Oryzias latipes: one gene and its partners. The main gene of each other region encodes a partner of the protein of the gene in region 2 in a complex. Links are inferred from orthologs where the notes say so. Each region holds a gene or a part of one and is shown on either strand. Other genes may lie near its edges.

Evidence for each region.
Region 1: cytochrome c oxidase assembly factor 1 homolog (region 2) and tmem186 share a complex: the UniProt entries of both Homo sapiens proteins name them as parts of the mitochondrial complex. The link is inferred for Oryzias latipes from reciprocal best matches to the Homo sapiens genes COA1 and TMEM186.
Region 3: cytochrome c oxidase assembly factor 1 homolog (region 2) and timm21 share a complex: the UniProt entries of both Homo sapiens proteins name them as parts of the MITRAC (mitochondrial translation regulation assembly intermediate of cytochrome c oxidase complex) complex. The link is inferred for Oryzias latipes from reciprocal best matches to the Homo sapiens genes COA1 and TIMM21.

Annotation. Positions count from the first base shown.
Region 1 is NC_019859.2:36,185,374-36,194,947, forward strand, and holds tmem186 (transmembrane protein 186), read left to right. Parts: upstream 1-3,909; 5' UTR 3,910-4,048; coding exon 4,049-4,069; intron 4,070-4,522; coding exon 4,523-5,188; 3' UTR 5,189-5,257; downstream 5,258-9,574. Other genes in the region: gde1 (glycerophosphodiester phosphodiesterase 1), read right to left, coding at 316-421, 1,143-1,318, 3,284-3,553; heme oxygenase 2, read right to left, coding at 7,283-7,410, 7,590-7,722, 7,796-8,119, 8,256-8,423. UniProt on the Homo sapiens protein: As part of the MCIA complex, required for efficient assembly of the mitochondrial complex I.
Region 2 is NC_019875.2:5,297,623-5,308,015, reverse strand, and holds cytochrome c oxidase assembly factor 1 homolog, read right to left. Parts: upstream 9,094-10,393; 5' UTR 8,937-9,093; intron 8,915-8,936; coding exon of another isoform or gene 8,889-8,914; exon of another isoform or gene 8,814-8,888; intron 8,452-8,813; 5' UTR 8,439-8,451; coding exon 8,345-8,438; intron 8,140-8,344; coding exon 7,988-8,139; intron 3,287-7,987; coding exon 3,210-3,286; intron 3,138-3,209; coding exon 3,011-3,137; 3' UTR 2,653-3,010; downstream 1-2,652. Other genes in the region: blvra (biliverdin reductase A), read left to right, coding at 8,889-8,914. UniProt on the Homo sapiens protein: Component of the MITRAC (mitochondrial translation regulation assembly intermediate of cytochrome c oxidase complex) complex, that regulates cytochrome c oxidase assembly.
Region 3 is NC_019878.2:15,514,466-15,525,166, reverse strand, and holds timm21 (mitochondrial import inner membrane translocase subunit Tim21), read left to right. Parts: upstream 1-4,084; 5' UTR 4,085-4,099; intron 4,100-4,208; 5' UTR 4,209-4,230; coding exon 4,231-4,513; intron 4,514-5,647; coding exon 5,648-5,710; intron 5,711-5,841; coding exon 5,842-5,939; intron 5,940-6,048; coding exon 6,049-6,122; intron 6,123-6,590; coding exon 6,591-6,696; intron 6,697-6,782; coding exon 6,783-6,875; 3' UTR 6,876-7,399; downstream 7,400-10,701. Other genes in the region: uncharacterized protein LOC105356682, read left to right, coding at 8,585-8,604, 9,265-9,424. UniProt on the Homo sapiens protein: Participates in the translocation of transit peptide-containing proteins across the mitochondrial inner membrane.

The sequences.
Region 1 (9,574 bases), on a different chromosome or scaffold from region 2:
AGCTGTTAAGAAATGGTATCAGATCCGGAACGGTTATACTGACCAATAGAATGAATAACTGCTGTTTATTTCTCTATAGACTTCTATGGGATTTTGGCTTCCTGGAGCCACTTCCTGTTTGGAACGTCAGGGGGGAGGAGTCACTCAGTCCAGTTCTCAGACACAGTCAATGGTTAAAATGCTACGGGGAAAAGTGAATAGATGTCAGACCCTCTTTTTGTGTTTCCACCCCCTGATCATCCGTGTTCTCTTCATGCAGATCAATTCAATCAGCCAACATGCTTCACTTGTTCATGTCTGTTGAGCAGGATTCACCTCCTCTGGATGACCTTTGACATCAAAGTAGATGCTGAGCTGCAGTTTAATGCACTCCTCCACTGCTTCAACCAAAGTTGGGATTTTCTCTCCAGCAAACTTGTCCCTGGTGACGAGAAATGCAAAAACACAAATCTGTTTCACTCTAAATGCGTCTGTATGTCCAGTCATTCATTTGGTGAATGAACAAACCGGGCCAAGCAGAACCACAGCTCTGAAATTATGCTAATTGGATTTGCGATAGTAAGTCATCCTCATGGAAACACGACAAGTTAGAAAAAACTCACAATTATGTATAAAAGAAAAGCTTTTTGAGCTTAGAGGAGGTGGTTTTTGAGGCACATCCAAATTGACATATTTCACAACTGTAAAATACTGTAATGGAAACACTTTCTTGATTAAATGAGTCATGTGACCAACAACCGGATGGCGATGCCCTTCTTGGTAGGAACTGGCGGCCTTGGTTGCTGCACAACGGGCGCCACTAGAAGTCCCACAGCGTCACACAGATATGACGTGTTTTTTTAACTTTACTGTCACGTTAACAGCAAGCTAGATCAGCGTTTCTAGAGTTTCTAAAGTCGAAAAGCAGACAGAGCCTTCAGCTACAGGCTCCTCTCTAGAATCAGATTCTCAGTTTGCTGGATAAATATGCACTGATTGCAAAAAGCAAACAGACCAGAGTAAACAAGTTGTACAATAAGCAAACTTTGGACAAAAAAAACAATAATCGACTTGTAATTAAACCTTAAAGATCCGTATATCTTAACAGTAGAACATCGTTTTCCCACTTTCTCTGTGTATTTGGTTGTTTGTACTCCGTCTACCTGAGCCGGTGTTTAGCAGCTGCATCCAGTTGTCTCAGCTCTGAAAAGCTCAGCTGGCACAGGGGTCCCGATCCATTGGTGGTCCGGTCCACAGTCTCATCGTGCATCAGGATGGGGACGCCGTCTGCCGAGAACTCCAGGTCCAGCTCCACGCCGGTTGCTCCGTTCTTACTGGCCTGCACCAATCAGAGGGTCAAGTCTGCGGGATTCCAGTACCGTCACATGGAGGCAGGAGAACGTTCAGGATGTAACGTCAAACCTACGGTGGCCCTGAAGGGCAAATCCCTTCAGCTAGTCGCTCAACGAAAAGAAAATTAAGATCACACAGCATTAAAAAACAAAACAACTTTACATGATAGAAACGTAAACAACATTCCAGAAACTTACAGGTCAATAAAAAAAAAACTAAAACTAAATACAATTCCCCAAAAACATGACTCAAAAGAAAAAGGAAACGTTTCTTAAAACAGAAGTAATTTCCAGAAATCCAAATGAAATGTCAAAAGAGGAGAAACCAGAAACTGTAAATATTATGGGGAGCCCCCTCCTGATTGGATGATGATGTTTGTTCACCTTTTCAACAGGAAGTTATCCGTCATGGCGATATCTTCTGACAGAACCATGTGGTTAAACCTCTGGCCACGCCCACTGCAACCGTTTGGTGAACCATCCTTCTGATTTCCCTCTTCTTCAAAACTCATCATCCAATCAAGGACATCCCATAATAACCACCTTTTCTAGTTTCTTATTTTGTTGACTTGTTTTTTTTACCATTTCATCTCGATTCGTGGAAATGACTTTTGTTCTCTGAATTTTTCTTTTGGTTACTGGAATATGTCTTTTTTCCCCAAAATGTAATGTTGTTTATTTTTAATTATTTGTTTTGCTTTTTTTATTTTTAAAATGTTTTTGAGTGATTCAATGGTGCGATTTGTGTCTGCAGCTCACCGCTGCTGCAGAAACAGCCCCTGAGGAACCGTTTGGAGGTTTAACACGAACCATAATCCCAACCTGAACCCTTCTTCTGGGTCAAACTGGCCACACGTATGTGGAAAACTACATGTGAAACAACAGTCTAGATCCAGATTCCTGCTCCAATGAGAAAAACAGGGACGTTCATGGATCTGTTTGACTGAAGCACACAAGAGGGGCGGAGCCGGGAGCTTGAAGCCCCGCCCAGAGCATTTTCCATGTGATGCAGATCCTCACCGCTGCTGATGTGGTCATTTTTGAAACCTGAAATGAGCTGGGTCACCCGTCTCTGTTCGTGGTCGTTAAGGTTTAAGAAATGTATCCAGTCAGTGTTTTTGTGTAAATTGATTTTAATCATTTAACTTAAATAGTTAAACTTCTGCTCTGTCTGAATTCCAACTCTAACTACTGAAAAACTGTGTAGCGTATATGTACATATATATATGTAGTGTCTTGGATTTAAAAAGCAATTCAGACTCCATGCTCACAACTTTTTTTTTTTTTTTACACGGCAGATATGATGTCATCGATTTCACAAAGTTAAAATATAATTACTATGAGCGTTTTGCACCGATTATTTTAGTCAACCGTCTTCTGAAGATAAAAACATTGATTCATTAAAAAAATACATGTTTTTGGTAATAATTGGTCCAACGCAATGCATTGTGGTCTATATTCGCTGATCTAGTGAGCATCATGCACACTGTTTTTTAGCAGAGACTTCTGGGAAATTTCTAGGGCCCTGGATGTTGGAATGGTAGATTTGGACAGCTCTAGTCAGGACATGTCCGATAACGTAAGCTCTTTCAAACGGTGGGGCTCCTACATATTTGGGGTTGCTTTGCCAAATCTTGCAGTTGCTTTAGCAACTCAAAGCTACCGATGGGCGCCGCCCCCTGTCTACGTCACAAATACGATCTTTTTCCAACAGCATTTTTTCGTCTGCTCCTGATCCACAACGATTTGAATAAAAAAGAACTCAGGAAAGCAGTTATATTCTCAACTTTCTTCATATTTGTCCTTCATCACCATAAAAAAGCCAAGAGATCAAGTTAAAAACACCAGAAACGCCGTTTTCACCAGAGCTTTCACAATAATGTGACACTGACTGACGTGCGTCTCCACGTGACACAGGACACCGTGAACACCTGTAAAGACATTCGTCTCACCTCTCTGATGGCAGCGATGGTGTTCTCCGGCGCGTCGTGCGCGCCGCCCCGGTGAGCGATCACGGACACCCGCGCGCTCTCCGCCCCGCAACCCACCGGCTGCAGCACGAGACGGGCTCGGCTGCGCGCCACTTGCGGGAAACGAAACATGGCTAGAAAACAGTACAAGGAAGTGGTGAGGACGGCAGACCACAGCGGACTTCGGGTCCCCAGTAAGACCAGCACGAAGACCAACGAGTGGAGGGCGACCTCGTCCCCCAGCGGAAGCATCGCGGCTCCTCTCCTGTCTGGAAACAGCTGGAGGAAGCGGAAGCACCGCCCGCGCGTCACTCAGACTTTCTAACCTGTCTAGGCACAGATATTCGCCATGGCACAAGCTCCGCCCCGCTGACTTGTGACGGCATCGAACGTGTAACGAAACCGGCACATTCGGCGTCTTTGAACACAGCCGTTAACGGCTGAAGCTGATCGATTCTCCCGTCGGGCCGGATGTGCTCCGTCAAGTCACGACAAAATAAAAGCCTGTAGTTTTTAACCAATAAAAACAATTTACCACAATAAATATAAAACATTTTTTTTCAATAAAATATGGCTATAAATACTATCAGCACTTTAAAACGCCTTACGTGGGCCAGCCAACCAAACAAAATGTGACTTTGAAATAAATTGAAGTAATAAAATAAAAGACTAAGAAAGGACTTCCGGGTCACTGGTCGGCTAACAGATCACTTCCTGTTCTCGTGTTGCTGTATTTTATCTTATTTTATGTCCTTGTCTCCTGTCCTGGTGAGTCTTTTTCCTCACGTTTTGCTTGTAGCAACAAAACTTCATTCGTCAATTAAGATGTTTCGTCTTTATTTATATTTTATTTATATACTAAACAGTTCTGGAGGTTCGACAACTGTTCAGAATGAACTGTCTCTAGTCTCAGCAGGTTACCTTTTCCAGATACCAGAGACGAGTTCAAAACCAGGAATAAGACATTTGACTTACAATACCATTTAGCAAATTTAGGAGGAATTACAACTGTTTTAGTTGACTGTATTGCAAATGTTGTAGTTTATCCATCCCAGATTTCATTGAACATGTATGTTAGAGTCTGGTTGAACTAAACCAGACCAATATCATACCAGTAACTTTAAATCACTTTATGAGATATTGGAAGAAACTAACCTTAACTGCTTTTCCGTCTCTCAGCATACTTCGAAGGATGTTTTTCTAAGTGAAGTTTTTTCTCAGATGGAGTCGCTGTTGCTGCGGAGGCTGACGTCCCGCCTTCTGTCATGTACCAGAGGATCCTGTTTGCTCTCAGGACGGATTGCTTACACCTTGGAGTCTCCTCCTTCTCCACACTCCTCATCAGTTCAGAGCCACCCTGGACCCGTTCCAGCTAAAGTTCCCACTTTGATCCGACACTACGACTCGCCCACCCCCAAATATTCAATGATTTACACCCTGCCACACATTAAGTTCCTCAGGGCGGTGTCCAGACTTAAACTCCTCCAGACCGCCATCACTGCTGTCATCCTGCCTCCAGTGTTTGTCCTGTATTTCCAGGGAGCCGTCTCCTTCTTTTTGGTCAGCTACTCCACTGGAATCGCTGCGTTTGCTGGCGTCATGCTGTACACGCTAAGCCATTTCTTCAGGAGGGTTGTAGGAATGATGTACCTTGATCCATCTCAAACCGTGCTGAAAGTTTCCCACCTTACTTTCTGGGGAAAGCGCAGTGATATGTACATTCCTGTTTCCGATGTTATGACCATTGGAGATACTGGAGATTCAGCGAATGAGACCATCCTCCGGCTTCAGAGGTACAGCGGCCCCGAGACGTTGTATTTCTCTGTGTATTTTGGAAAGGTGGTGGATAGACAGGGCTTTGAGAAAGTATTTGGAAGTTTAACATAAATTCTTTGAACTTTTCTTGGGGGGGGGGAAACTGTTGTGCTGGAAGTTAATAAAAATGTAAACATATTACAGTCCTGACTGTTACCTTCACATGTTCAATGCTAACTAAGGCCGAATCCGAATTCCTCCTCTACCCCTCCGGCTTCTCCCTATTCCTCCAATTGTTGGGGCATTTGGAGGGTCTGAAATAGTTTAAGGGGGCAAACCCTTCAAAAGGGTGATCCTGTAGAGGAGAAATGCATTTCTTCACTTGGGTTTGCTCTGAAGGACTGAAGTTAAGGACTTTTTGTTTTAGCGTCACTCTTTAACGTTATAAAACTGATGTTAGGAATTTTCCGAGCGCTGACGGGGACTATGGATTATGTCGTCGAGTGGGAGTGATGCCCGAATCAGGAGACAATATTTTCCCATATCCCTCCGTTTGGAGGGCTAAATGAAGGGGTAGGGAGAAGCCGCAGGGATGAGGGAAGAATCCGGATTCAGCCTTAGACATCTGTCCGCCATTTGTAGCAGATTTTTCCTGATTGGACACACGGAGTCCAGTTTCAGGATCAATAATTGGTTTTCTGAGCTAAATGAGTTGTAGAAATCCTAAAAGAAATGTTCTCAACGATTAAAAAAAATCCTAGAAATAGATATCTTGGAAGGATCACTCTTCAGAGGAAACCTCAGCTCTCAGAGAAGAAAAAGAAATCCAGTCATTGGGTTGAATCCGAATTAATTCGTTACCCCTCCGGTTTCTCCCTACCCCTACATTTATCCCTTCAAGCCCAGAGTTTTGGATAAACTATTGATGCTTGATGACATCATCAACAGTCGCCGGTTATCTAGGTTAGTGCGTAGCTGCCGGGGCTTGGTAAATTACATAACATCAGTTTTATAACATTGAATCTCCACCCATTTGCTCAATAATTTAATATATAGTAGCCGGCTCATAAAAATTCATCTTCATTAACATTTCAGGCCTCATGGACATTTCGTCTTTCTAACGCGGACAGCCTTTAAACACAGGGAGCCGTTCAACATGTCAGATATTTCAGTTTCACGTTTTAAAGTCAGCCTTTTGGCATTAATTAGCAAGCTTCATGCTGACAACTTCAAAAGAGGAAAAGACGTACAATTTACTCTCTCAGACAAAAAACAAATAAAAGACCAGCTTGGATTCAATCAATCTTTATTGACAAATGTGCATCCAATTTCAAAGTGCATCTTTCCAACTCTGCTAATTTCCCTCCATGTTTAAGCATTTCTGACCGACAACATGAAGAATTGTTTTAGCATCACACACAAACGAGTGTGCATTAGGGGAGTAAAGATTAATTGATGAACCGATTTATCCAGCCAGATTGATCTGTCTGAGGCAAGTTGCAAATCAATCATATTGCCATCAAAAAAATCATTTCAAACGAATTGAGGTACAGTAGGTATTTTTGACTCTAAGGTCAAACCGATCAATCACAGCAGACGACACACGTGTGATGTCATGAACACGGATCAGTCCATCATTCCAGTCCAATGTGTGGACAGACTTTGAATAAAGTCATGTGACCATCCAGTGTCTAGAATGTTCTAAGAATGTTCCCTTTGGATTCTTTGGATGTGGAAAAACAACAGTGGTGAACTTTAGGAAACTAACATGTGAATGGATTTGACATTCATTCTAGTTTACTTGTTGGTTTGGACACAGATTTCATTAACTTGATGATCTGGAAGAAATCCAAGAATCTGGAAAACTGTTCGGTAGCAGGAATTTCTGTCTGAGTCTCACTGCTGGAAGTTCGGATCAAGAGGATCTGGATCCACTTTAGGACAGAGGATCTGGATCCACTTTAGGTTCAGAGGATCTGGATCCAATCAGATCGTTCAGAATGAACCAAAATCAACTATGAATTAGATCAGCAGCCACTAACTATGATACAGATCAAATCATGCCCATAAACTACAACTTGTTCATTGAAAACGAATAAATACTGGAAGACAGCAATTGAAGTCTCGGTTTTGCTTTTGACGACTAAAGTTTGCCATTGTTGAACACCAATCCTTATATCGTCTGAAGGGATTCACCAACAATGACCGCTGAGGTTTCGTTAAGGCTCAGAAGATGTACCAAGCAGTAAACCCGGCCAGAAGTGCTACCCAGGCTGCCAGAAGCACCTGACAGGGTGGATATCTGACAAGCGTGGTCGCCAACTGGAGGGCGTAAGTCGGATTTCCACCAGCAGCTGTTTGAAGGAGTAAATCAAAGACAGGATAAAAGTGAACACTGACATGCTAAAATGAAGAAACTGTCTTATATAAGCTGCTTAAAACAACAGGATTTTTTCTGTTATAATAGTTTTAATAACCCAAAACATTTTCGGCAATGAAACTTATGAACCAAAGGAAAATATGAATTCCTTACCCATTTTAGCGGCATAGTACGGGCACTTGTTGATATCACCGCCTTGCATCACTTCTGCATGACTGTGTCCTAAACCTGGCTCTTGAACTTCCTCTTGTATGCTTTTTCCGATCTCTTCAAGCTCTGAGAATACCTGTTGGGATCACCGCCCTTGTCACACTGTTCCGTCCTCACATTCGGGTTTTTGTTCCAGCCCGTTCACTCACCATCATGTTGAAGCCAAAGGCCCGGTTGGACTCCTCCACAATCCTAAGTTTTGTCTCCATGTCCAGGTCCAGCTCGTTCATCCGGCTTCTGTAGAGCTGCTTGAAGCCCCTGTGGCTGTGAATTCCCTCGAACTGATAGAAGTTCACACCCTCTCCTGTGGATGGCAGCTTCAGGGCCCTCTGGGCCACTTTCTTCAGGATCTGTCCACCTGACAGGTCTCCCATGTAGCGGGTGTAGGAATGGGCTACCAGCAACACCGGGTCCTTCTGCCCGACCTCGCGGATCCGGTCGACATAAGGCTTAGTTCCCGCCGACAAGCTGATCTGCAAGATCAGCCCAAAATATTCCTAATGTGATCCTAAATCTTTTTGTTTGAAGAACAAATGCGTCTTTACTTTAATAAGACTCTTTATGAAGCACAAATAGATTTTCCAGAGTTACTCTTTGGAAACGGGATACCTGGTTCTCCCAGTCCTCTCCATAAAAATACTCCAGGTCTCGGGCCAGAGCTTCACTGCGATGCAGCTCTACTGGAAAATAGATTGGAGCAACGTGAGGGTGATCTTTGTTCTTCTCCATCTCCTCTTCCATAGCCGTGTAGACGAAGTACAGAGCTGCTGTCCCTCTCTGAAAACACAGAGAGAGAGAGAGAAAAAGAACGTCGGACTCGTACAGATGCCACAGTCCACCGTAAAGGGGTCCATGGAGGGTCGTGCAAAAAAGATGTACGTAAATATTTGATCTCTATGGGTTCACTACGATGGTCACCCACGTGCCCCCCACAGGTTTGACTATTTTCTGCCCACAGACGGCCCAAGTCCACCTGTAAGGACAGCTGGGATTAAGGCGTTAACTTTACCCTTGTTTTCTTGAAATCATAATTCAGTCATTTCATAATTGTGGCTTTTACGTATTAAATCATGTGGAGATTTTATTCATTTATTCTGCAACATTGCCTCTAACCAACCACGGTATCCTCAGCTATGCAAACAGAACCAGAGTTATGGTTCACCTTTCGGCATGTCCCGCCACGGGTCGCCACAGTCGGCTTTCACTGATTCTCAGGTGGTTGGGCAGAGATTTTTACACCGGAAGCCGAGGAAATCCAGGACGTTCACAGATCCAGTCGTCTACGAGTGGATGCATCAGAATGGGGTGGAGCAGGGAGCTCGTGGCCCCGCCCAGCAGATTTTCTTCGTCTCAAATATGATCTTTTTCAAACAGCATTTTTTTGTCTGTACCTGATTTATAACGATTTGAAGAAATACTCAGAAATGCAATTTTAAGCTTAATTTTCTGTATATTTATCCTTCATCATCAGAACAATGACACTAAAACATGTTAAAAAGACCAAAAACACAATTTTAATCAGAGTGGGTGCACCCTTGTGCTATCTTGTGGGGTCCAGATGACCCCACCCTTCCATTGACGTGTTATCCGGTGGGAGAGATTCAGGAGTTGCTGAATAAGTTGTACGGCGTTGGTTACGGTTATTAAGGTTGGTTATTAAGTCTCCGTTCCTCAGTGTGGGAAAAGGACGCTACATTATGCTGCTGCTAATAATTGATGAGTATTTCTTAGCATTAATGTAACTTCTGGTGCTGCAAGGTGGTTTTGCTGATGGTTTAGTCCGGTTGATACGTGGTGAGTTTCAGCTTCATGCAGGCGTTGAGACTTCCATCCGTTAAACGTGATCGTAGGTCTGAATGTTCTGTAGATGTGAGACAGACTGCTGACATGCAGACATGGAGCCAAACATTGTCAGTACAGCAACACTC
Region 2 (10,393 bases):
TCAAGTTCTTAGGTCGAGGAGAGGTTTCCAAAGTGAATGATATACCGAGTTCTGAGATATGGTCCCACATGAGGTTTCCAGTTCTGAATTGGGTTACCATTTCTTGGAGGTTGTTCTAGTTTTTGGTGATGTGCTGGGACCATCGTTGCAACTAATTCAGCAGGTCAACTAATCTCATCATTGGCTAATGAATCTATCAATCAAACTAATCAGCAAAGCAGACATGTTCGCTTTCAGCCAATCGAATGGCCCTTTCGACTTTCTCTAGGCTGGTTATTGAGACTGAATTAACTCTATACTCTGGGGGGGACGGGGGTCACGACTGCTTAATGAGTGTCTTCACTGCCGTGGGAAAGAGGCTATTCCTCAGCCTGTTTGTTCTTAAGACTGAGTCTGCCAACATTTGGATATGGGCCAAATTTCCTCTCCTGGATCCGGCTCTTGTATACTTCTCCTGTAGCTTCTGTGATCACAAATGGCAAACAATTAAGTATTTTCCGTTATTCAGAGGAACACGTCAAGGCTGTCCAATTAGTCCTCTCTTATTTGCTTTAGCTATAGAACCTTTATCTATTATCCTTAAATCATCAACTTGTATAAGGCATCCACAGGGGAGGGGAAGCTTGGAGTTTCGTTATACGCAGATGACCTTTTAATGTATATTTCTGACCCTGTCCCAACTGTTCCCCACATTGATGATATCCTACAGAAATTTGGGGCTAAATCTGGATATAAATTAAACTTCAGTAAAAGTCAGTGCTTCCCTCTCAACAACTTAGCGCTTCAATTACAAGACACTGCCTTACCGTTTCAGATGTCCAGAAACGGTTTTAAGTACTTTGGAATTAATATCACAAGAGACATGGAAAGTCTGTATCAAGAAAATGTCCTCGCCTTACTGGAGAAGGACAAAGTAAACAGTATAAGAATGAATATACTTCCCAGATTCCTTTACCTGTTCCAGTGCATTCCCCTCTACATCCCTAAATCTTTTTTTTTATAAAACTCGACAAAAGCTTTTCTTCATTCATCTGGAGCGGCAAGAACCCAAGGGTCTGTTTAGAATTATTACAAAGACCTAAACATCAAAGGTGGCTTAGGCCTACCAAACCTGTGCCACTACTACTGGGCCTCTAATATTCAAAAAATTATGCATTGGCTCCAGGCTTCTGACATCAACTGGTGTCAACTCGAAGCCGCCTCCTGTAAAACAACTCTGACAGCCCTAATTGGATCTAGTCTTCCCTGTGTCATTTCACACTATATTACACACAATCCAATAGTTACAAATACCTTTAAAATTATATTTCAATTCAGACAGACGTACACACTCACTCAGGTGCTTACCACTAGTCCTATACGCAAAAATCCCCTTTTTCTCCCTGGTCAGACAGACTTCGCCTTCACAATTTGGGAAGAGAAAGGTATTATCAACTTTAAGGACATGTACCTAAACGGTATATTTGCAAGCTTCAATGATCTTGCTTCCAAAATTAATCTGCCTCACTCTCACTTTTTTCGTTACCTTCAAGTGCGTCACTTCCTTCAGCAGCATGACCTTCCCTAACATCCCACCAGTCTCCATGATAGATGAGGTGTTTGAGTTGCCACTTAATTCAAGGTACAAAAGATTAATTTCCAAAATCAAAGACTGCATATCACTTCATGACAGCGCAGCTCTTCTGAAAATAAGAGGTAGCTGGGAGGAAGAGCTTGGGCGGATTTTGGATGATAATGTATGGAACCGGGCCTTACAGAGAGTTAACCACAGTACCTCCTGTGCCAAGTTAAATATAATACAGTTTAAAATTATACACAGGGCTCACTTCTCTAAAGTAAAACTGTCAAGAATTTATCTTTAATTCATCTGAGTGCAAATTGTGACAGATGTCAAAATAGCCCAGCCAATCTAACCCACATGTTCTGGTCATGCTCTGCTCTGGTGAATTATTGGTCTACAATTTTTAAAACTTTATCAGATGCTCTAGATATCAGTCTCCAGCCTAGTGCAGAAGCAGCCATATGTGGTGTTTCACACCAAAACCTAGATACATTAAGAAAAACACAAAGACATTCTTGCTTTTGCTACTCTAATTGCAAGGCACCGTATATTATTGCACTGGAAATCTTAAGACCCACCCAGGGTGTCCCAGTGGCTGACGGATCTTATGCAACTATTAAAACTTGACAAAATAAAATATTCAGTTCGGGGATTGAGGGACACATTTTTCTCAGTCTGGGGTCGGGTTTTAGATCACTTCTTCTCCTTCGCCTCCTCACATTCTACCACCACGTCCGCGTAGTCTATAGTTTAAAATATTCCAGTTATTACTAATTATTATTAGCATTATAAGTATTATTTTTCTTACGTATAAATATTATTACATAAGCTATTTATGTAACTATATTTCTCTAATTTATGTTGCCATTTGGTTGACTGATTTGGCCATTGAGTTGATCATATAGAGGTAAGCTTTTGTTACATTGGACAATATATATCATAGCTTTGTATTGCAAACTATGGAGAGGGGGGGGGGGGGGGGGTTGAGGGTGTTCCTCTTTCTTTTTTTAAAGATATTCATTTATTTTCCCTTTTTTGCAGGGGTGGGGAAACTGGAGAGTGGTGTTCGGAAAAAAGAATAACTGGCCGAGTTGTATTACAAATATGAAACTATATGTTTGTTTCTTTGTATTTCAGGTATGTCGCAATTCTCTTTTAGTTTGCAATAAACAAAAAACAAACAAAAAAAAGACAGTCTGCCAGAGGGGAGATGAGTGAAAAAGGAGCCTCCTGAGTGAAGAGTCAGTGTTGACAAATGTATCCTTTCCAACAGAGACTGAGAAACATTTGAAATAAATTACAGTCAAAGCTGCGCCTCAGCTCTTTGGTTCTCATTTGCACGCTGCAGAATGACGTGCACCGTTCTACAAACAGCTTCAGCTCTGTGTACGAGGTAATGATCAAAGCATAGCCCGTCCTCAGCACCAGACACTGGTCTGGAATTCCCGTTCAGAGCCATTTGTCCATGTCTTCCTCTAGTGTACTTTCTTCTGGCGTAGCTGGACGAGGAGGAGGGTTCAGCAAGTCGATGACGGAACCTTCCCGGAGGTGAAGCTCAGCCTGTTTCAAATCCCACCTGCAGGGGGGTGCACAAACTCCTTATTAATTTGTACTGAGCGTTCAGAGGAAAAAACTGAAGCAGACCCACTTGTGTGTTTGTGGCTCTCTGTGTGAACACGTGTACAGATAACCTCCAGTCTTTGAGCCTGTGACAGGAATCTTAATCTGCAAAGAAAAGAAAAAAAACACATTCAAAAAATAATTCAATTAAACCACACATCTATTTTTATCTACAAGGAGAGAAATAGAAGTTGCAGTCAATAAATTTCCAACATTCATCAAAGTGACTGTAGGTTGTTGTCACTTTACACGTTAAGAAGCCCATTGAGGCTGCTGTTGTTGGGAATTTGGGCTATACAAAAAAAAAAATTAATTGAAAAAATTGAATTACATGAAGATACACGAATCTGTCTCATAACCACTATTGCCCCTTTATCCATACTGAATACCATGTCCCAATCTTACTTTTTCTAGATACTTCCTGTGTATATATTTTGTACATCAGACCATTATTATTATTGGCAGTTTGACTGTGGGTTGAGATGACTGTGCTGGATGCCATATATATTGCATTTTTGACAACAAAGCTGACTTGAACTTGTAGACGCGAGTGGGAAAGATCTCCTGTAACATTCAGTCAGTACCACAGAGGATCTGAAATAACCTCTGACCAAAGACACTCTGCGGTAGGATTTCTGTAATCAGAAGCATGCTCCAAAAGCAGCACATGGTGAAGGGGGAGGGGCAAGGAGGCGTCCACCTGATCATCAACTGTATTTATGGTAAGCAAAGCATCTGGCTTACCGTCATATTTAGTCCTTAAAACCCATCCTTTCAAAAACAACTTCTCATCACTTTGCGTATAATGATGCATGTACATTAGGCCTGCACAGTATACCGCAAATTTATCGTTATCGCGACATTAAGCTGTGCAATATGCATACCCCAAAAGACCGCGAAAATCGCAATAAATGGTTACCTTAAATGTGCTAAAACAAACTCATGGCAGCTTGAAATATTGAACAAATGAAATAAATCCCTTTATGCATTTAACCAGTCGGAAGGACCCGTTTACGTTGTTGATCAATCAGATGAGCCCTTTTATGTTTGATGTTTGCCTCCTACGTCGACGAGGGTCATTTGGAGTATAATTTTTAAACTGTTGCAGTGAACACGGAAATGATGTTTTTGGTTGTTTTGCTATTTGTTTATATAGCGCGAATTATATCGTTATCGCACTATTAATCACCAATATCGCATATCTTTCTCATTCAAAGAGTTTTCTTTATTTTCATGACTATGAAAATTGTAGATTCAAACTGAAGGCATCAAAACTATGAATGAACACATGTGGAATTATATACATAACAAAAATGTGTGAAAAAACTGAAAATATGTCATATTGTAGGTTCTTCATAGTACCCGCCTTTTGCTTTGATTACTGCTTTGCACACTCTTGGCATTCTCTTGATGAGCTTGAAGAGGTAGTCACCTGAGATGTTTTTCACTTCACAGGTGTGCCCTGTAAGGTTTAATAAGTGTGATTTCTTGCCTTATAAATGGGGTCGGGACCATCAGTTGTGTTGTGCAGAAGTCAGGTGGATACACAACTGATAGTCCTACTGAATAGTTAGAATTGTTAGCGATGGGAATAGAAGCCCCATGAAGCTTCCCTTGGGCTTCATGTAATTGTGCCGGAAAAATGAACCAGCCATTCAGGGCTTTGAAACCACACAGAACAGCGGCATCTGGTGGCGGACTGGCCGTATATCATATGCTTCAACTAAGCTCCTTGTAACACTTCAATGTAGAAGTGATGATGGAAAAAAACGTAACACAAAACATTGTTTTTAATAATTAAAAAATAAAACGTAAAACAACATGACATGTGACGTTTTCTGTGAGAAGTGCTTGACACAGCAAAACACTCATGACATGAAGAAAATAAACACAAAGCAAATTATTTTATTTTTTTTAAATGCTGGTCTTGAACCCAGCACCTCTGGATGCAGACCCCATTGACTTGCTATAGTGTATTGTGTACATGTACCCACTGAGCTATCGCTACTGATACTGATTCACCTAGCCATTGTAAATTCATTGAAGTGTGTCTTATTTTACACAACGTCTATTGTTCTATTAGGAAAAATCGAGTTGAAACGATCCTGAGCCACAGTACGTTTTTACCAGGAGCCATGGTAAAGTGCAATGAACTGATGCTGATTACGATACAGGGGAAACAATAGAACTGGTCGGGAAACATCGTCCATCGTGATGGGTGAGTGACATCCCGATGGAGAGACACCATCGTGATGCCACGCCCCCGCCAAGCTGCGAGTCGACACCATAAGCCCCGGTTACATGTGAAAAATATCTTGATGGGATCGATGGTCGGATTAGAATCCAACTGTGTAGATGGTTCCAGAAAAATGTTTTCAGATTATAACAAACGTTCACATGGGTCACACTTTCGGTCGGAATAAATCATTCGCACATGCGCAGTAGGATTTGAAAAACCGGAAGCGGATATCAGTTCCGCCGAGCGGCTATTTTTTTCTCAAACTTTATTGAATGTAACAATTCATTACAAAACAATGTTGCAGAGCGGTTTTATACATTGATATGTCAGCTCGGTAATATACAAGACGATCATCTAAACCTGCTTTTAATAATGTTACGGTTATTATGAAACGCCTGTTCGCTCATCGTTTTATTTTTAATCAGTGCTTTTTCTGTTGAAAAACTGAGCCAGAAAGAAGCCAGAATTAGCAGTATGCTAACACGGGCTAACAACATTAGCTTGGGTGGTGCTGCAATCTGCATCTTGGCTGCATGTAAACATGTGGGAATAACATTAGCCTTTATTTAGTCGGGACACGACTCGAAACACAAATCCACGTGATTGTTTGAACGATTTCTAAGGACTGAGCGGCCTTTCTGCTTTGAAGCTCAAACCGCCCCAAAGCGCTGTGTGTGTGCTCACGATCCTCTGCTCAGACACACACTTTTCGACCCGGTTCTGAGTTCGGTAGCCCATTCCCCTAGAGCTGCGGAATGGATCGCAGTTCTAAATCTCCCACATACTACCGCTCATGTAACAAAGCACCCCCCTTCCCCTCAAACACAAAGCTGTAAGTCCACGCTCCGCCGGTCCACTTGACTAGTTAAGAGCGGGAGCGGACCGTTTCTTTTCTAGTTTGTTTGTTACTTTTTTTGTTAAAGTCACTTCCCTCAGTTTATACTGGATCATCGCGGATGAGTCATTAGTTGGGAAATAAAATAAATAAAGTAATAAAGTAAAACAACGAATAGCAATTATATAAGACCGAAATATTAAAAATAGCCCCCCCCACGACGATATCATCGTCCATACCGATGATTGACAGCAAACATCGTCAACGGCCAATTTAAGGGACATCGCCCAACCCTACTGCCAGAACGATATTTATTTAATTATTTCTGAGCGCTCTTCAGCGTCTGACTCTTGTTCTCCACTTCATCCTCTGACCGCTAGTTGGCAGCAGAGAACACGGAGCCTCTTAGAGCAGCTCTACTCTGCACGAGACAACAGGAAGACTGCAGCCAGAGGCAGCTTGTTCTGTTGTTATGAGACATGAAATACTTCGTTTTTACTTGCGATGGATACCAAACAGAAACTCTGAGCCATGTTGCTTTTTATATGTTGCTTCTAGCAACATATAAAAACGAGGATTGTGATGCTTTTTAGCGGCTCAGATAAATAAGAGTGAAGCACGGCAGCGGCTAAAGAGGCTTATGCGCTTAGCATCGGCTAAAAACCTGCTAATCAGCAAAGCGGGCTAAAATTCTGCAAAACATCCCAGCAATAGATTCTAGTTTAGCGACCTGATGGATCAGAGGAATGTGTACAACGCTCTGAAAAAAGGCGACATCGTGGCGAGGAGCGTTAGTTTACCTCCGTGTGAGATGAAGCGTGGCTGGAAAGCCAAAGGTGCAGCACAGGCAGAGACTGATAATATGTAAACAAAGCACTTTTGTCACATTAAAGCATCTTTTCGTCGTTCCGTCATGCTGCCTCATCATCACTTTATTGTTTCTGGAAATAATCAGTGTGTCCCCCACACCCCACCCTTTATTTTTGAAGCACCATTCTGACTCCTGAACCGTTTAAAAGTAATGGAGAAGCTACATTAAGCAAAGTTGAAAATAAACAGCATTTTATTTGCCCAATAGAAACTTATTGGTTAAGGCTCATTCATTCTTTGTTTTTCTTATACTGAAAAATATTTTGTTGTGGAAATCAAACAATGTTGACTGTTCCCTTTCTATATTTTAACTTACCAAAATAAAAGCACTATGAATTTGCTTTGGTAAATGGAACTTATACATGAGACGCAATTGCAGCGCTTAACATTGTGATCATTTAATAAACTGAATTTGACCATTTTATTGCAGTGGATGACATATTGAAATTCAGGTTGAGTTTTTTCAAAGCCATATTTAAAGAAAAAAAGAAAATATGTTTTGGTAAAATTTTGGGATACGTATCGTATCGCCAGACTCTTGCCAATACACAGCCCTAATTTGAGGTGGGACAGGTTTCAGACCTAGATTTGACAAGTAACAACTAGAATTCTGCTGCTTTTCCTGTTCTGGAGGATGTCACACAACTAAACTGTGTGTTTAAACTGGATTTATTCTGCCTTCTGTTATGTCGGCATAAGCAGGCTGCATACAAATGCACAGAATTAATTTGTGAATATTTTTTTCTGCCTAATACTTTGTTAGCAAAAATAATCCTATTTTTCATCTTCCTGTGATAATGGAGAAACTGGTCAGTTTACTCATCATCACACAGCGGCTGGACACCCCCCTGACAGACTGTACCTGGGCTGCCTGATGGTCCACACGGTTGTATCTGTCAGTCAGATGGATGTTATGAACTCGTAAGGGCGGGGCTCCAAGGCTCTCCATGGCAACAGGACACGCCTTCAGCTGTCGCACAGCGAGTTGATGGTATTCACTCCCAGCAAAGTTTTCTGACGAGATAGCAGAAAAGAGAGCATGCGCACGTACGTGTGCATGAGTCACAGAGACATGAAGGGGCTGCAGCAGAGAGACAGACCAAGACATTTGCGGGTTCCACTCCTAAACCAGAGCCACTTTCAGACCGTAAAGCGGAACCAGGAGTTTCTGTTTTGAACAGACTATTGCTTCAACGCGTGCACGCACACATGCACTCACTCTGCATCAGGTAGTACATGGTGCCAACGCCCCCACCCGTCAGGACGGTAGTGAAGATGGTGAGCCTCTGCAGATGGTGGATGGGGACCCTCATGGTGCAGCTCTTCCTGCACAAAAAAGCAAAGACAGATGAAACGGAGCCACGATGGCGGCTGAGCTGCAGACACCAACCTGAGAGACATGATGGAGGGAAAATCATCAGAGGATGCTGCCAGAAAAATGACTTATAGAGAGGAACTCTCTAGGTCTACAGCTCTGGAGTCCTGTCCTGGTTTCTAATTTGTTGAAACTTTATTTAAACAGGAACAGTGTACACAAATCCCAGAGAAAACAGGAACATTGTTCTGATGTTTTTTTTTTCTCCTGCAGGAGGAAACATTTCCAAAAATCCGAAAATAAAGATAAAGCATTCACTGTTGAAAATATTGGGATGTAAAAAAATGCTTCTAAAAAAAAAATCACCGACTACGAGGCACCGACTGGGCGGGGCCCTTTTACGTCATCGGGAATGTCCTGTCAGCTGGTCGAAATGGCCTCTCCATGAATGCTGTGGCGGACAAATGCGCTCAGGTGAGTTCAGTGTCACTCTTACCTGAACACATGCGGCTCTACCGGCGCGTGCTCTTCCCTGACCCCTCCCCCTCGTTTGCGCGGTTCTCCGTGAGCGTGCGCCGCTCTGCTGCAGGTTAGATCCGGAATCCGTCCGTAACACGTGTTCACGTGGGTTTAAATAGGGACGGTGGCCTTTGTCTTCTTTCTTCTATGCTTATCGGGGGTTTGTGCCGCACAAAGGCTGTTTACTGCCCCCTGCTGGACTCTGGACGCGCTGCACTAGATGAAATATAGAGGAAAATGGAACAGTCTTCTTTACAATTCAGTTTTTCCTGGACATGCAGGATAACTTCATACTGCTAATAAAAGCTGGCTTTCTTTCTTCGGTCTATATTCTGCACCATTTTAATGGAAATAAACGGGTTTTATCACCACTCTAATCAAAGTGTTTGACTGCGATCCGGGTAACCTTTGAGCACCTGTGGTTTACTAAATGTACATCATGTTTACGTGTTTGCGTGGACAAGAATGCCGCCCCATACACAGCACGGATATGGAACATTTTTCATTGTTCAGGCTGTTGTGTTGTTGTTGCTTCGAAACCTTTGAGAAGCTGCTGAAAAGAGGAAAAGTAGCTTATGCACAGAGCTGCACCAGACTGCATGTGCAGGAGACAACACCACCATGCAGACAGGGATGTCAGTGTTTCAGACTTTGCTAAGAAAAGTGGTAGGAGTTGTGTCTTAGAGTTAAATACATGTCCTCGAATGGATGGAAGAGCGGGACTACTGAAGTTGGATAAGCTCCATCGGGGAGGCCGTTAGCAAAGAGAGATGATTTTTAGAGAGAATACATTACGGAGAAACATTTAAATGAAGCACACCTGTTAACAGATACATATTAATAAAAACAGGATGATGCTTCTAGATATATTTGGACAGGACTGGTGATCTCTGACATCACCCATAGGGCTCTGAGGGCAAAAAACCCACGAGGAATACTAACCTCTCAACCGTCTCTTCGACTGCTGTTTTGGGAGTGAAAGCAGTCATTGTTGGTTCAATTCCCAGCTCTTCCAGTAATGTAGTATTGAAGTGATGTTGGGCAGAACACTACAGTAAATCTGTGAGTTAGGTTTAGTTTTTCCAACTGCATTTTTCCATCTGCTCGTGATTCAATTATTTGGAAAAAGCCACTTTAATCTTTATATATGTTCATTCAGAATGTTCTAAAAGAACATGTTAACACCCAAAATACAATTCTCATCGGAGTGGGTTTTAACAATAACCACTGTCCTAAAAGTTTATTTTTCATTCTCATGTATGAGAAAATACACGTGAATTGGGGGGGGGGGGGGGGGGGGGATTCGGACCCATGGCCTTGTTTTGGTTTAATAATGGTTCCATTTAAGCAGTGTGATGCTGCTTCCTGTGGACTAGGGGGTATGAATCTTCGGACACACAAGGTGTATATTTACATAAACCCATTTTGGATTAG
Region 3 (10,701 bases), on a different chromosome or scaffold from region 2:
AAAGCATCTACATGATAAAATGGTTAAGAATATTCTTACTAATACTAATAATTCCCTTCAGAACCCTCAAAGTACTTTGAGTGTGCTGCATGTTCAACTAAGTTTTTTACACAACATTGCCCCCTAAAATATCCTAAATTAATTTGACAATATTTCTTTCTGAACATTTCAACTAACTTTTAGATAGGCTTTGTTTTTTTTTTATTTTGTAACTAAAACAAAATAAAAATAAAAATAGAACATCACTTTTAATGTAGGAGCTTCGTGTCTTTATAATGAAACACATTTATACTAAAGGTATCAAAAGAATGAATTGTTTTTAAAAAATATGATCTTTCAGGGCTAATTTTACCTGTGCTTTATAAAACAATAGAAATGAATTGTATCCTTTTTTTTCTCTTGAATTTACTGATCTGATCTACATTTGTCTGTGTGTTCTTGTCTGAGGAACATTAGTTAAGAACAAAAGTAATTTGTTTCTTATCAAAAAAGACAATAAAGTGACAAAAGCGGCTATTGAATCCTGCAACGTGTCATGGAAAAAGGCAGCCTTCGCTAAATAAATTCATAAAAATTCACATTATGAAGGAATATAGATAAAAGTTGTAATGGAATTTACAAAGATTTTTTTTACATTAAATTTGGGATCTGACCATAAAAATAAACTGTATAGGTAAGAAATAATATTTTATCTGAATATGCTCTATTATGCATCTTTGCAAAACTGCTGCACATGTTCAATAAGATTAATAATTTTGAAAAATCTTTGTTGGAAGATTTTTTTTAAAGTCATCCTGCTCCATGTGTGAGTTCACATCAAGAATGTGGTTTGTTTTTATCATTTTAACAACTTCCTTGTCTGATTTGCATCACAGTTTGTTGCATTTGCATCTCCTGAAAGTCATAAGTTTTGTCCAAATACTAACATAGTATTTTTATATTTAAAGTTCCGTATTCTCCGATTGGCTGAAAGGTGTTTGGAAGCCGACTGTGAGGGTTGCGAGTTTCATGTGCAGTGCCTTTATTCCTTGAAAAAATGTGTATTTTTTCTCATCCATTTCCAAATCTTGAAGTTTTTTTGGCTAATTCCTTTATAAAAATTAAAAAAGTAGCGCATTTAGTCAGAAATACCAACTTAGAGCTTAAAGGCCTCCATATTAAGACTCTTTTCTGCATGTGGCCTTTGGGAAGCAGTTGAGAAGAGGTTTTTATTTTATTTTATCTACCTTGGACTGTGAGAAATTATTCAAAAAATACCTAAAATTCTTAATTAGTTGTAATAATTTAGGTTTCTTTGTTTATTAGTACTGGATAAAGATCAGATAATATTTAGTCAGAAATTGATGCAAACATTTTTCCAAACAGGATGTTTCTGGATTTATTTTGCCAGTGCAGTTCTTTGACACATTAACACACTTGTGCTTGTGAGTTTTCTCGTGTCTAAATGTGTTTTATTTCTTTTTTGTAATAATTTGAATTGCATTCATCATGTACACGCCTGTACGTGTGTCTTTAGTGTCACAAAAACACGCATCATCCACTGTTTCCTCTGATCCATGTGCAGTCATCTCTGTGGTTACTAAATAAACTGTTGGGTTTTTTTCTGTTTCTGCACACATCGCTTTAACTTTGTGTCTGTCACTGCTGGACAGTTCACCTCTCACAGAAATAAATCCAGAAGGAAACCTGTGCAGAGCTGCACATGCACTTATCGATTTTTTTCTGTCTGTTTCTTCCCTCTCAAACACACACAAACGCGCACACGCAAAGTCGCAAACTCATCTACCAGCTCAGAGACGGAGGCGGAGACGTCACTAATTAAGTAAGTCCAGGTCAATTCAGTCAGAAGCAGCTGGGGCAGCGGTGGACAAAGATGCAGGACAAGGAGAAGGCCTGCACTAACGATGCTGTTCTTTTTCTGCAGATGCACCATTCCTCTGCATCCGGACACATTTCACAGCGACGTATCGGTTTCCCTCCCACACTCCTCTTTAAAGGACTTTTTTCCGTAGTAACTTGTAGATTGCAGAGATGAGGGAAAACAATTAGCAGAAAGTTTGCATTTGCTTTGGATGGAAGATATGGATTTTTCTAGAGTGGAAGAACCTTGAAGTATCATTTGAAATAGACAACTTTCAGAAAATTTAACTTTTTTGGGGGAGAACACAGTACCTTTAATGTAAATTTGTTTGAAGAGACTTAAAAAAATCTTTACAGGTTTGAAAACTGTTTTTAAGTATCTGTCAAAATACAAAAGCTTTTATTTTTTTATGTTGACGTGATGTCTTCACGATAGAAACTTGTGTTGTTTTATATAAACTGGTCATTAGAAAAGTTAAAGGTAATGTTACAGCTTTTAATTATTGGATCAACTAATTTTTAGTTTATTATTTATTTTTTTTGCATTTTACTAACAGTTTATTCTGAATGTTTGTGATGCAGAGGATTTTTTAAAACTCAGTTTGGACATTTATTTGATAACATATTGGGAAAATGCTGGACTGAATCTTTTAAATAAACTAATATTTACCGCTTTTATTGTGTGGCAACGTTTTTCTCTTATTTGAGTTTCAAATGCGACAACATGGGGCCACTCTTCAGCATTTCCACAAACCCGTCCCGAGTCTGGGTAAAGGCAGAGGGTTGAGTCCAAGACGCCATCCGCTGTAAAACTGAAGCCAAACGACGTGGGAGGATTTTGTGGTGATCCCCAACAAGAGTAGCCAGAAAATTAAAACAAAATCTGTGTTTGTTATTTATTTATTCTTGCTTTATTATAGATTATATTACAAATTGACCAGTTTTGTATTTGACCAATCCCCTGAGGAAGAAGGAAGCTGGTGTGACAATGGAAATATTTTGTTCAGTGGCAGTTCTACACTGACTTACAACCCCCCCCACACCCACATTGACCACATCGTTTTGTGTTCCCTATTTTTAATTAACACAAAAATCAACACAAATGTAAGAATTTTATATACTCGTATTACAAGGGTGTCAAACTCAATTGCACAGGGGTCCAGGTTGTGGGCCGAACAGGATAAACATTTAGTGAACACATTAAAGATACGTTTTCAAACATTTTAAACTTATTTTGAACAAAAATTTGAATAAAAACAGACAGGAATATTGTTTCGGAATAAATCAACTTCAAGCAGCCCCAAAAATGTAATTGATAATCACAAAGACACTAAATAACATTGTTATAAAATCTCAATCATGTGGATTTGCTTTCAGGAAAGTGCAACTTTAATTGAAATAGGAAAGAAAATATATGCATTTATCAGATGTTTCTGAAATTTGTGGGAGTGCTGACTCAAACAGCCATTCAGCAAATACATATTCATGTCTGCTGTGCATTTAAGTCCTTAGCCAGTAATGCTGTAGTGAGCAGTAATTTGTTTTCCTTTCATTTTTTATCAACATGAAAGGATCCTTTTAAAATAAATTATACCTGTAATTAAAAAAAAAACTTGTATTAATTAAGGGTCTATTTAAAGTATTTACATAATCCTAAGTACCAAGTCAATAAGTTTGAAACCTTAAGTGAATTATTTTTATGTTGAAAAAACTCTGCTTCTAATTAAGTATGTCTAAATTGTTGCATGTTTTGTTTTTTTGGATTTATAACTTTGTTTTGTCTCAACACGTTTTACCTTTGTTATAAAACATAAAAACTGTTTGATCTCAATTTTTTAATCATTGTTTTAGCAGAAAAAAGACCACATTTTTTCTGCTAAAAAATGTGGTCTTTTTTCAAGAATTCTTGAATCTTGAATCTTTAGCAGAAAAAAGACCACATTTATCACTCAGAATTGACTTTTTTGGACAGTTTCAACTTCATTGTGGAGTTATTGTGCAGTATAATGAAAACAAAATCAGTAAAACGAAGTGTGGGTTTTTAAAAAGAGGATGGAAATCAAGCATTGCCGCAAAAACCGATTTGAAGATAAATCAATAAAGCGAAATACGACGTAAGGTCAAAAAAGCCCCAGACCACAAATAAGGCTGCAGTTTGACATCCGGGACAGAAGGGGGCAGTAGCCATCTTTAGAAAATCCTCGACGTCTGATCGACCCAGCAGGTCAGTGAATCAGAGGTCTGAATGGCGGTTTCCAGCATTGCAATTCCATGTTACCATGAAAGACCGCTGTTATTTGATTCTTATTTTCAGTAGATGAGCTGCTGTTTTCTTTTCTTTTTTTCAGATATTGTCCGTCGGATAAAATAATGTCTTTCACGCACATTTTAAAAGCCGTGCAACAAAGTGTGCGGAGCTCCGGGAAAACATTTCTCCCCGTGCAGCAGGCTGGCGTGCTGTTGTTCACACGCAGAGCAGGAGCGGTCATCCCCGGCCTGTCCGTCCGTGGGTCAGAGGCTCCTGTGTCCGCCCTGAGCTGTCTCTGTCAAACACGAAGACGCTTTTCTGTTCACGTTATCCTCAGAAACAAGGAGGAGAAGCACAGGTCTGTTTCTGCCTACCAGAGTCCTAAAGTGTCCTCTGCTCAGAAAGGTATGCCCATTTCAGATTTGTGCAACTAAACGCATATTTACTGTCTTGTCTCTTTAAATGGGGTTTAAAGCTACTATTTTATTTAGAAAAAACTAAAAATCTTGTTTTAGGACCGCCCATTTTGTTTTCTTACAACCAAAGCTGCTTTCAAAGTTTCTTGGCAAGTAATAACTCCTACTCCCTTTCCTGTGGTGTTCCTCAGGTTTCTGTTCTGGGCCCTCTTTAGTCTATACCTCATTCACTCACTTTATGTACTTCATCTTTTTCATGTGATTTATTGATACCTAAAGATTCTTAATGACCTGAAACTGTGTTGGTAAGGTATAAATATCCGCTTAGAAGTTATGAACCGGATACTTCATGTAAAGAAAATGTTAAGTTTGATAAGTTTGCTTCCTTCCACTCCCTTTCAAGCCATCTTTAATTAAATGACTAAATATTCTATGTTTGATACATCTTAGTTTGTATGGATGTTGATTGTGTAGTTTTCAGCATTGTTTTTGCTTTGGTTGCTTGAAATAAGCAATGCCAAATCCAATTGAACAAGGTTTATTGAAAAAAGAAAAGAAAATCCAAATTAATCTTGAAGATAAATTCTGCATTAATTCATCAAATCAATGGATATATTTCATTTTGCATTTATTCCAGCATTGGAATATATATATTCCAGACCAAGAATTTGCTCCTTTATTCTATTTTTATGTCATTATTTTTAAAGTAATGAAGTAATTACTAACTCTGGTAACGTTAGGTTGGGGGTGTGAGGGGGAGCGGGTAATAGGTTGGTGATGGGAAGTGGAGCAGGCTTGCTCCACGCCAACAGCACAGTGGTCAATTTCTATTGAACTACTGCTGCTCTGCAGAAACTAACTAACTAAAGATCTTTAGGACTTGTCATCATAATACCTCGGGGCATACTAGAGGGCCAGACCTAACGTTATGTTGATGAGTTCCTCCTCCTCTTGTCATCTCTTATAGCCGCAGTCTAATAGAGCTACCCGTCTGCACAGACACACAGTTTCCTTTTATATCAAACCTGGAATATTTTCACTCTGGGTTAAATTTTGCTTATAAATCTAAACTCTTCCACTATGCATTGGCCACTCAAGAGCCTCTGCTCTGTTTGTCTTTCAGTCAAAGATGCTGGGAGAGACTTCACCTACCTGATCGTGGTCCTCATCGGGCTTGGAGTAACAGGTGAATTGAACTGCACGAGTCCAAGGAATGGCTACACAACAATCCCACATTGCTTGTTTATATATTTATTTATTTGGTCCCAGAACACACAACCTAAATAATCAGCTGCAGTTTTCTGCTGTGTTGGTCAGGGGGGCTGTTATATGTGGTGTTCCAAGAGCTGTTTTCCTCTACCAGCCCAAATAAAGTCTACAGCAGAGCCTTTGACAAAGTCAGGTCGCACCCAGAGGTAAAAATCAAGCCAGACGGCGTCTCCTATCAATATTTTTTTACTGTTGAAATGGCTAGAAATCATTGTTTTTCCAAAATAAAAGTAAGAAATACATAATCAATTGCAGGTTATTGGGGCATTTGGAGAACCAATTAAATGTTACGGTGAGACCACCCGCCGAGGGAGAAGGCAGCAAGTCAGGTGTGTTGACACTTTATCTTATCTTATTGAACTTTTTCTTACTTGCAAAATGTTGCTTTAGCATTCATTGATTCATGGTATAGAATACAGTAAATCTGATCAAACTTGGCATAACAAGCAGCTGCCTTTAGTTTTAGAGGAAATGCTTTTGCAGGATTTGAAGGACTTCCTTTCAGAATCACAACCTGTGAACATCAGCTATAAATCATATTTTCAGCAGCATTGAATTTCCTTCAACGTTTATGCAAAACTTGTCATGAAGGAGAATTTAGTTTCAGACCCCACAGCTATGAAACATAAAAGTTTTTATTGTCTTTTGAAGAGCTAACGTGGTATTCGTGCTGATTTATTGTAAGCATCTGAGAATCTGGAGCTCTGGAAGAATGGAGTTACAAAATGTTAAGGTTATTACATATATATGTTATTGTTGGAGTTTTTTTATTCCTTATTCTCATATTTCCACTTCAGTCACGTGGAGTATGTAAAGGATGGACTTAAGCACATGAGACTAAAGTTTTACATTGAGGGATCGGAGCCGGGCCTGAAAGGGACGGTGCATTCAGAGTCTAAAGAGGTAAGTCTTTATTTAAATGGAAACCTGTTGTTTCTTGTGTGGATTTTTTGATCAGTTGAGATAATGGTATCCTTGTTGTTTTGCAGAATCTTGAAACTGGAAAGTATGAATTCCGTTATGTATTTGTAGAAATAGATACCTACCCGAGACGGACTATTGTTGTGGAGGACAACAGATGAGGAGCTTTTCTGACACTCAGGGGACAAGTCAAGACGTTTGCACTTGTAAAGCAGGGTTTCATGTCTGTGAACTAAATAAATGGCTTTTTCCTGAATATATTATTGTGAAATTTTAAGAAATGGATTGGTTAATAAAATTATTTCTCAGCATTTGGTAGAAAGCTTCTCTATCGCAGTGTTAATGAAAATACAATAGTAATTTGTAAATAGAACATACAGAGATATTTTTTTGAAGATAAATGTATGCTTTTACAAATGATCACATTCTACAGAACTAATATGCTATAAAACATGAATTTGATCAAATTTTGCTTTTAAATGTAGGGGATGTTTTACTCCATTCAAACTTACTTTATCCTTTTTTGTTGTTTTACATGTAAAAATGTGAATAAAAAAGAATCACCAGATGGAGCTGCAGAATTTAGTATTTTGAAAATCTAGTAAAATGTGTAGCAACCCTAATTTAATTAAATAACCTATTAACATGATTTACACTGAATTTTAAATAAAAACTTGCAGAAAAATGTCTAACAAATCTTTTTTTTTTTTTTTTTACTTAGTCAATTTTAACAAATATGTCCCCATTGCTACAGCTTTTGACACCCCCAAAAGAGTTTTTTTTTCACACGAATCTCCTTTTTAACACACCCTCTTTCAAATTTAGCATTTGTAATTATTATTATGACTTTCAATTAAAAAAATGTTTTAATAACTTTATTTTAACTATTATTATTTGTTTTTCAAGTTAACCCGTGCTCACCATGTTGACAGATTGAAGGCTTGTGCTGCCTTCGCGGACTGTTGGAAATACTACAAACTACTAAGGAGTCGCTGAAAAACGGGTTGTTACACCGTTTTCTAGCTTTCTACGTGAACCCAATGTTAAATTGTGATCCATGGTGAATGTAAATATCACAGACACCTAAATGTATTTTTTTTACTAATAGAACCATCTTGAGTAAAAGTCGATTGTTTTTCCCCCTCCACACACGAGGTCTCACGAACACCGCCCTCTGACAAAGCGAAAGGCAGCTGTAAACGCACCACATAGCTTCGTTAGTCGGCTAGCTTCAAGTCTGCCGTGCGCGTGAAGTTGTTAGCTCCTCGTTAACTTGTCGCACGCTTGAAAAATAGATTTTAGTATTCAAAAAATAGCAGCCATGGTTTTAAAATAGTTCGGTTCTGGTCGCTGTTTTAGCCCCGCGGTGAGTGATAAAAGTCTTCTCTGCCTCGGCCTGCTACGTTTTAGCCACATTAGCAGCCATATCGGCTCCTCGGGATTATTAATCTGCACATTAACGGCGAAGTGAAAACGAATGGCTCATTTTTTATGATAACTCAGAAGTTTAAGACGCCGTTACTAGTAAGTTCACATCATTGTTCATTTCTATGCTTGTTTAGATACAAATATGATAATTAAAAATATATGAACACTAATATAACTGGTGCTTAAGTTTTGCTAAACAATTTGAAAACAAAACGAGTCACAAAAAATGTATATGTATTCTGCTGCACCCCATATATAGCTTATAAAAACACAGGTTATAGTGTAGAAAAAGAAAAAAAAAGTATATTTTCTAAAATATACTTTTCTTTTTTTTTCTTTCTTGTTTCCCCGGAAAGACTGAGTTGGATGTTCGGACAGGACTCGGCACGTTATTCTCCAGTTATGACATTCTCCTCTCTGAGATAAACACCTGAAGAAGAACATGGAGCTGTACTGGTACATGTGAGTAAAGTTTATGGTTTTATAATTACACCTTACCATGGATATACTTTTATGTCAACAGATGAGTGCTAAACCGCTGCAGGTGAGGTAGTTATTAAATTAAAATATCGTCCTCCATCCTAAAGAATATATTTTTGAAGTATATTATGATTTTTTTATTGATTTGATAATTATAACTGATGTACCTTTGTAATTTTAATGACAGTGTCAAGGCATCCAAGCCTCAGCTATTGTGTGTTGTAATAATACTGGATGGCAGTCAGCTTTGTCTGGAGGAGCACTTATGTGATTATCATATGAGACTGCTGTAATTATATCAAATAGTCTTGGATGGAATTTGATTTTGAAACTGTTCTTTTTTTCCAGAAATGCTTTGACATTTCCCACCTCAAAGGGGCATGGCTTGGTAGGCCTGTGTAAACACTAAATGTCACAGAGAAGAGTTTGCTTTTTGAGGCAGGAAGTGGGCAACATTGAGATTCTTTTGGACTCCTGGGAAAATTCTCTTTTTTAAATTTATTTATTATTTCCATCTCATTTTAGCCCCAGATTTCATTTTCCTTGACCTTCTTCAAAATGTCCGAAAGATTTCCATCCCACTTGCACCATTTTCTTTTTCAGCATATAAAAACTGAAGTTCTTGTCTCTTTCCCTCTACAGAGTTGTCATCATATTCATCATTGTTAAGATATTCTTCTACGTGTGCTGGTACCGGTCAAGACAGCGGCAGCTGGCGGCATACCTGAGCAACACGCGCAATGCCCAGATAGTCATTGTCGGAGGAAGGGCCTATCTTCATCAGATGTGTGAGAGACAGAGTGTAAGTGCAAAACTCCACATTTGGGTCTGAAGCCTCCACAGCCTGAAATGAATAACTCTGTTGTCATGCGTTGAAGTGTGTCTCAGCCCCCGCAGATTTAGATTGTTATTTAGCTTGGTTAGGAAAGTCTGTAGACCTTTTCTGATGTGTGTGGAAACGGAAACTGTTGGAGAAGAAGCTACCATGCAGTTCAGAGTCTAAATGTCATGTAGATATGTCTAAGTAGGTCTCAGCTGACATTAGAGGAAGTGCTTATGCTGTCTGCAGTCTGCTTGTGGGTTTCAGTTATTGACTCTTGATACTCTTTTCTTCGTAAGACTAAGGATGACTTTTATTCTTAATAATTTGACTCCTGGATTGGAATTCAGTTAGGAAATGCTTTGTCACTCTAACAATAGAGAGCAGTACAACGAGCTATTGATACTTTTGTGTTAAATGATATTTTATAAATATGTGTGAAAGTCAGTGACTTAATACTGTGTGTTTGACTTGTCTAAGTTGCGTTTTGCATCACCAGCTTTTGTACATGCGCTGGAGAAGTCCACTGTTGGACTGTCCGTGTCAAACAATCTCTGAAGGCTAGTTTGTTCCTGCTGATGTTTTCTGGTTAGCGGTTTAAACCAGCTCTATTTGGAATCATTTGGTGTCTCCTCCTCAGGGACAGAGGAGCTCTTTTTTCCCCTCAAAGTCCTCTCAAAGCATTTTTCTAAAACCTCCTTTAACCCCCCACCTCCAAAAAAAAATCTGAGAACTTGATCAAAAAGTTTTGAAAACTTCAAATTTTTTTGGGTTTCATCACATTTCTAAACCTCTCCATTATATCCAGTCATAGCAGATTGCGTTTCTGCAGCTCAACGTTTCAGCTTCCTTTTTATTATCCTGTTTTTTTTTTTTTTTTTTGCATTAGAAAGCCCTGTAATAATATTTTTAGCTATTTTTAGGATATTTGTGATCTGGGAAACGATGCCTCATTTCTGACGGGAAAAAATCCTGGAAACGTCGCTGTTCTGGACATTTTGTCCCTGCGTCACTCCACATTCCTTCGAACATTTGCAGTTTGTCCAGAAAAATGCAGTCTTTTCTGTTTTATCGAACTGCATAACGATATTCCCATTTGTTGATGCACATTTTCCTCTGTTTATCAGAACTCCTCCTATTTGACCTTTTATTGTCATTATAATTTAGTTTCTTCTCTTTCTTTTTTGGATCCTCGTGATTCCTGTCCTCCTCTCAGAATGTCAATGATGTAAATGAATAAATAAGAGTTCAGTTCAAAT